Linked DNA regions of Xenopus tropicalis. The protein of the gene in region 2 purifies or fractionates together with the protein of the main gene of each other region. This does not show direct contact. Links are inferred from orthologs where the notes say so. Each region holds a gene or a part of one and is shown on either strand. Other genes may lie near its edges.

Region 1 (3,785 bases), on a different chromosome or scaffold from region 2:
CTCAGCAGATCATCCACCAGGTGTGAAGTTACCCTTACTCCCTTTGGCACCTATTTATCCTCCTGTGTCAGAACTCAACCCTCTGACACATCTTATCCATTACATGCCTTCTAAATCTGTGGCTCTTTTGCAGCAACACAGTGCAGTGTAGGGCAATGGTGCCTAATATTTTAATTACTTTAAAACACTCATTTTTTTTAGTGTTATTGTTTCTTTAAAGGTATTTGACTCTCTACTGTCATTGCTTTCCCCTGTTTTTCTGTTTTTTTTCCTTGTCTTTAAAATTACACTATGTCTTTCAGGTGGCAGTATTTTTTGGGGGGCTTGCTATTAAGAAAGATGAGGAGGTTCTGAAAAAGAGCTGTCCCCACATTGTGGTGGGAACACCAGGGCGAATGCTGGCGCTTGCAAGAAACAAGACTCTGAATCTGAAACACATCAAACATTTCATCCTTGATGAGTGTGACAAGATGTTAGAACAGCTAGGTGAGTAATTAAATGCAATACATGCCTAAATAAGCCAAAGGCAAAATGTCTTTCTTTTTTGGATTTACAACCTTCTTTAGGGAAATATACCACAGGAAGAAGTATATTTTGAATATTTTGTGTTTGTCATATGGGTTCTTATATTAAGGTGAATACAGCAGCCCTTTAAAGGAAATGTAACACTAAATTTTTTTAAGTAAAAAAGCTATTTTACCCTGCACCAATAAATGTCCTATCCTGCAAACCACTTAGTTTTTTAAATGCTTTAATAGAAAATACCTGCTAAAACTTGGCTTCCTGCCAATTGAACTATGGCGATAAGGCGAAGGAAGGAGCTGCATCCACTATGCGACGATCGATTGATCGAGCCTAGCCTTCTTTCTGTATAGGAAGGAGTCAGGCTAGGCTCGATCAATTGATCGTCAAATAGTGGATGCAGCTCCTTCCTTCGCCTTATCGCCGTAGTTCAATTGAAAGGAAGCCAAGTTTTAGCAGGTATTTTCTATTAAAGCATCTTAAGTTGCCTTGCAAGGCAACTTAAGATGGCTTCAGAAAACCAAAGCGACGCATGTTTTTCCATGGGTGATTTACACTGGTAGGAAAGCATTCAGGAAAGTAATTGCCCATGCTGGAGAAGATTTATCACGGAGCGACTAATCTCCTCATGTGTCATGTTTCCTTTTTTAAAGTTGAGATGGGTGGAAATTCCCCTCTCATTCACTGTTATTTACTCTGTTTTTCTTTTTCCAAAACCCATAGACATGCGCAGAGATGTACAGGAAATTTTCCGCATGACACCACATGAGAAGCAGGTTATGATGTTCAGTGCCACACTGAGCAAGGAGATTCGCCCGGTTTGCCGCAAATTTATGCAAGATGTAATTACCAACTCCTCATCTTCTTCCTCCTCCTCCCTCATTCCTCAAGCAGCCCCTGGCTGACAACGCTAACTAAGGGACTGTTTTTGAAAGAAGCACCAAGCCAAACTCAGGCATTACTACCCTGTGTGGCACTGAAACAACTTTTTCATTTTTTTGTTCTACACAAGCCTAAGTGCAAGTTGGGTCACGCACATTTCCCATTGCTGCACTTTTTAATTTTCATGTCCCCTGTCATGTGCTACAGAAGTGACACATAGGCTAAATACAAAAATGTTGATGTGACTAAATCATAGCATTCAACCTGCCATAAACTGGTGTGCTACAATAACACCAGCTAGTCACTCCAGAAAATTGTCACTATCCCTTATGATGTGTCACACCAAATACAAATATAATTACCAAGCTACAAATGGCTCTCTAGCAACACAACATCTTGAGAGTCATACATTTATTTGACGCACATGTGACAGCTTGTGGCCTGTAAAGCAAAGCACCATACTGCATTTTTTTTTACACCAAACTAAAACCCATTTTTGGTTTCAAATGCCAGCTTTATCACATTCTAAACAGATTTTGTGACACAAGCCAAAACTGTTTAGGCTCCCTCATTGCAATTTTTTTTCTGGCAAATCCTATCAATAGATATCTTTTTGCTAATTCTCTGATGTTTATCATCACAAGAGTGCCTAGCCTTAAAATGGCGCTCTATGATTTTTAATTTTTCCATGCAAGAAAAAAATGCAGCTTATCTTTGTGACTCCATCAACGTGTCACATAATTATTTTTTTTCCGTAGTTCTGAGCCAAACAGAACCACATTATTGGGACTTTTTCATTCTCTTTAATTTCCTGATCACTGTTGATCAGTGACGAAGGAAAGATTGAATGTTAAAGTTCCCTCAGATTTACCTTTAGTATTGGGGGCTAGTGAAATACTTCTATACCAATCAAAAGAAAAAAATGCATGAACAGGGAAAAGCAGAGAAAAAGCAGAAAAAAACTGATATTAAGAAAGTGAAGCTTACCTTCCAGAGTATGAACTAATATTTATAAGTAAGGGATCAGATACACTACATAAAGATACAGATTGTTGGTTGATATAGCAAAAGAATTGGTTATTGGTGTGATATAGCGCAGGTAGAGCAGAAACAAAAACTAAAGCTGTGTAAGCAGAGGGTGTGGAAATGTATGTTAGCTATAGATGTCATTCAGGGACTAATATAAAAGTGGATAAGGGGTGGGGTTGATTAGAATGACAAAAAGGAAAAACAAGTAGACTGCAAAAAGAGAAAGTTGGGTGGAATGATTAGCTACACAAATTATTTAGATAACCTGCCAACTGAAAGAAGATTATCTCTGCATGTTACAGAATTAAGAGAGTGAAAAGGGCTAAAACTCTTGGCTATTAGAGAAATAGAAGTTGTCATGTAAGCAAAGTGTAGTTAAAGGCACACCATGTTAAAAACAAACCCATTTTCTTTCTAAGGCCGGACTGACTCTACATTAGGGGTTGATCAATAATGATTATTGGTTTTATGAATTAAATTGCTTCAGAACCATATCTTCCTGAATCAATTAAATTCAACTGAATACCCATGGAAACCCATGCATGTGGTTCATATAAATTACGGATGCATCGAATCCAATTTATTTGTATTCGGCCGAACCCCGAATCCTTCATGAGAGATTCAGCTGAATACCCAACCGAATCTGAAATTGCATATGTGCGGTGAAAAAATTTCAACTTCTGTGTTTACATGACCAAAAGTTACGAGATTTTAAGGATTCGGGTTTGGCCAGGAGCGTGGATTCGGCCAAATCTGAATCCTGACAAAAAGGCCGAATCTTAGCCAAATCCCGAAATTGAATCTTGGATTTGATGCATCCCTAATATTGATATTGATTAAAGGGAAATTAAATATAACCATTGCCCATAGCCTAGAGTTTGATAGCTCAGACCGGAAGTTCTTTTTGGGATCTGAGATACCAATTCACTCTAGGTAGAAATAATTATAAAAAGTGATTTTTGATCAAATTAGCCTTAAAATTTGGTGAACTTGATAGCCTAATTTAACCAATCAATCAATAAATCAATCAAAATTCTATCAAAAATGAAATGACTAGGAATCTTACCAGAAACCATCAGGATTCCCCATTCAAACTATAAATACTAAATACCACCTATATAAGTATATGCATCTAGTCACCGACTAGTTGGCATTTTATACTGTATTAGAGTGCATGAACAGATAAATATACCTAATGTAAACCTGCACTTTCCAGACGTGTATGTACAATAAGCAAAACTTAAACATATTGAATACAACTTAATGATGTTAGAGTAAGTTTGCTTTATGATATATGAAAAGTGTTGGTTTATGTGTCCTTGCATGTACTCTTAGGCCAAAGCACAATGGGG
Region 2 (3,785 bases):
CTGTTTTTGGGCCAGGGCCAATGGGCATGGGTGGTCCTGGACCAATGGGCATGGGTGGTCCTGGACCAATGGGAATGCCAGGGCCAATGGGAATGGGTGGTCCAGGTCCAATTGGGCTGGGTGGACCTGGTCCTCTTGGAATGGGTGGCCCAGGACCAGTTGGGGGGAATATTCCACCTAGCCTGCTTAACAACCCAAATATTCCTAGGGAAGTTATCCATGCACTACAAGCAGGAAGACTTGGGAGCACCGTGTTTGTAGCCAACGTGAGTAAAAGTATCAACTATGACCCTTTAATCAAATATATGTTCTTTGTTAGGTGTAACATGGATGTGTGTCTTGTGTAATAGTCTACCATAATCTCCACTAACATGGCTTGACCTAGTAGAATAAAAATAGCAGATTTAAGCATCTATAAAATTTGTGTAGTTGGTTTATTGGGGGCAAACAGCTGCAAATGCGTTATTTTTGAGTCTTGACAGTAATACTGTTGGGTAGGGGGGGTAATGGATTTATGAATACATTTTCTTATAAGTTCGCAAACCAGCCTGAATTACAGGGTTTGAAGTATGCTGTTAAGATCCTAAGCATTACAGTTACTGTATGACTGCAGGTAGGACATTGAAAGCACTTCCAGAATTATTTGTCTCAATAGCAGACTGATTGTAGGGGAAAAAAAGCTCTCCACATAATTACAACATAATTTTAAGGTACAGTTAATTTAACTTTTATTTTGCAGTAAATAATTATGCTAGCATTGATAACTTGCTGTCAAATACAAGTGCCTGTGGTTAAGGCTCCCTTTGTCAGGATAACAAACTGCTAAATATAATATTTTCCCAACCCTATCCAGAGCAAAGCTTAACACATTGTGCTTATATAACCCCGCTTTGGCAAGCCCAACTGAACAAGCTTGTTGCTGGCACAGAGTTATTCCAGGGGAGAATCACTGGATAACCCCCCACCCCCCTGGTCCCTCCTGTTATACACAGTTCAATGTTTTTAGTGCTGCCCAAATTTTTAGTAAGATTCCAATAATTTCAAATGGCATAATGGGCTGTGTCTACTTTGCTTTAAATCAGAAATTTAGCTTTTATTGTTTCAGCATCCCCTAGTATTAAATTAAAATTGACTGCCAAAGTGTCAAACCTGTCCAGGTATAACTTGCATACTTGTCTCAAAATCATCTTTCCCAGGGTAGGCCTCCAAAGGAATCGGTTAGTTGTAGTTTGCAATCACTTGGTATCCTACATATTGCTGGGAGAACTTTTTGAAATCTGAAAACGTGTTCCCTTCTGTCCTACAATAGATTCCCTTTGCTGCAAACGGAGATCAAGCAATCCAATATTGTGTTTTGTTTTTTTTTGTAGCTTGACTACAGTGTCGGCTGGAAGAAGTTAAAGGAGGTATTTGGAATTGCAGGCACTGTAGTGCGGGCAGATGTTTTGGAAGATAAAGATGGAAAGAGCCGAGGGATTGGTACAGTTACATATGAACAACCTATAGAAGCTGTTCAAGCAATATGTATCCTTTCAGTCAGACCTATTATCTGTGGTATTTTATAGCAAGTCTTAAAGAATAAGTAAACCTGTTTTTTTTTTTTTTTTTTTTCCCATCAGTAAATTTTTTCTAAATGGCCTCCAGAATTACCTACCTTTGTCCCAGCATTCTGTCTGACCTGGTTCCTTAGTTAGAAGTTGATGGTTTCCTTTGCTTCCTTGTGCTGAGTGGAGCCCTGCCTCCACTTCCTGGTCTCTCATCAAAAAAAAAAAAACCTGCTCATGCACAAACTGGCTCCTGCTGCCTCCAGGCATGCACAGAAGGCTCTACACTCGACTACAGTAGTCGAAGTGTTGAGAGAACTGAACAGGAAGTGGGGGCGGGGCTTCACTCTGCATAAGGAAGCAAAGGAAACCATCAACTTCTAACTGAGGAACCAGGTCAGACCGAATGCTGGGACAAAGGTAGGTAATTCTGGAGGCTGTGTAGTTCTTTAAGTGAAGAAGGATCTTCCTTAAAGGCATTCTGTTAGGGCTGGGCGATATACCGTTTAATACCGAATACCGGTGTGTTTTTTTTTTTTCTTTTTTTTTTACTATATTCATTTTTCAGATACCGCAATACCGGGGTGTCGGGGTACTCACCCGTGCGGCCCGGTCTCGCGCGCCTCCTTGCGTGCTGACGGCGCCGGTTCTGCGCATGCGTAGGGGGTTTTTAAAGCTATCAAACGCCGCCTCCTGTGCTATGTTGTCTGCGGCCTTGCCTGGGAAACTAAGCCTGCCTGATTTACCTTACGACTTTCTGTTGCCGATCCTTCGCTTGCCTGACTCTGATTTTCAATACTGCAGTAATTATTCTCTAATTTATTAGGAAATGGGGTTAACACCTAATCATGCATGGAAAAAAAAATACCGTCAAATACCGTGACACCGATATAATTTTGAAAAATACCGTGATATAAATTTTTGGTCATACCGCCCAGCTCTACATTCTGTCATCATTTGTATGTTATACTTTTTCTAAATTACACTGTTTACATGGCAAATAATTTACAACTGGCTCAAAAATAAAATTAACAGTAGTGATGTTGGTCTGTTGGCAGCCATGCCAGTGCATTGTAGTCTGACTTTCAGAAAAACCCAGCACTACACATTGGAACTGCTTTTAGGTAGCCTATTGTTTCTCCTACTCCCATGTAACTTTAGGAGTCTCAAGCTGGACCTGGATCTTACTGTAGAGTGCTATTCTGATATCTACTGGGAGCTGCTATCTTGCTACCTGCTGGGAGGGGGGCTGATATCACTTCAACTTGCAGCTCAGCAGTAACGTGTGACTGAAATTTATCAGAGCATAGGTCACATGGTTGTGGCACCCTGGGGAATGAAGAAAATGTCTAGCCCCATTAGAAACTATTATAAATTAAATATAAAAACTGTTTTTGAAAAACTGACTTCAATGCAGTATTCTCCTGGAGAAGCTCTATTAACTTATGTGTTTTGGGGGGGGGGGGGACATGTTTTCCAATGACCGAATGTAATGTATTACATTAGTGAATTTAACTTAACTGCAAAATAGCAATGTTCAATGGACAGCCTCTCTTTGACAGACCTATGATGGTGAAAATGGTAAGATTGTATTTAATTTTTTTTTTATTAGTACTCATGTAAATTGGGTCTGTGTGGTGTTTGGTTATGTTAAAGCACACTGTTCTAAATTGCAGCCATACGCATTGCGACCTGCTCCTTTGGCGGGGTCACCATCTTCTCCTGATATGGCCACCTAAAGTTGTGCATTATCTGGCTAATTCGATTGTTTAACATAACAATTTTATTTTACAACAGGATGACAAATCAATGCCCAAAGGAGACCTGTTCCCTGCAGATCGTCCACCACAGCTTCCCCGTAAGTAACAGATTAAAAGGTTTTCCCTCAATCCTACTGTGGTTACCCATAAGGAGAATGAAGTTTGGTGCTAGTGCATGTTTCTTGTATTGAATTTTTTCAGAAATACAGGATAAATGTACACCCCTAAGGCAACTGGAGCATTGCTCTGTGCCAGTAATTGCAATGAAAGCATTTTAAAAGTGCTGTACACGGGAGACCGGCTAGAATGTAAATCTGCAGTCTTCAGTGGAAACTTCATGCACCTGCGGGACATTGCAGTGACGCGTATGCCATCCCACTGGCGCTTTATATTGTAGCCGGTGGGATGGCATTGCGGTGAGATTAGTTGCCCGTGACGAGGGTGAAAACACATGGAGCTACTTAGTAGCGGCTACTCATCA

What was found. Proteins that work in one complex are often made in the same cells at the same time.
Region 1: the proteins of hnrnpm (region 2) and ddx39b purify together in Homo sapiens (affinity purification with mass spectrometry; 4 studies listed by BioGRID, with this or other methods). This does not show direct contact. The link is inferred for Xenopus tropicalis from reciprocal best matches to the Homo sapiens genes HNRNPM and DDX39B.

Annotation. Positions count from the first base shown.
Region 1 is NC_030684.2:74,199,284-74,203,068, reverse strand, and holds part of ddx39b (spliceosome RNA helicase DDX39B), read left to right. Parts: intron 1-302; coding exon 303-486; intron 487-1,245; coding exon 1,246-1,364; intron 1,365-3,785. UniProt on the Homo sapiens protein: Involved in nuclear export of spliced and unspliced mRNA. Component of the TREX complex which is thought to couple mRNA transcription, processing and nuclear export, and specifically associates with spliced mRNA and not with unspliced pre-mRNA.
Region 2 is NC_030677.2:92,211,160-92,214,944, forward strand, and holds part of hnrnpm (heterogeneous nuclear ribonucleoprotein M), read left to right. Parts: coding exon 1-266; intron 267-1,370; coding exon 1,371-1,524; intron 1,525-3,075; coding exon 3,076-3,125; intron 3,126-3,341; coding exon 3,342-3,402; intron 3,403-3,785. UniProt on the Homo sapiens protein: Pre-mRNA binding protein in vivo, binds avidly to poly(G) and poly(U) RNA homopolymers in vitro. Involved in splicing.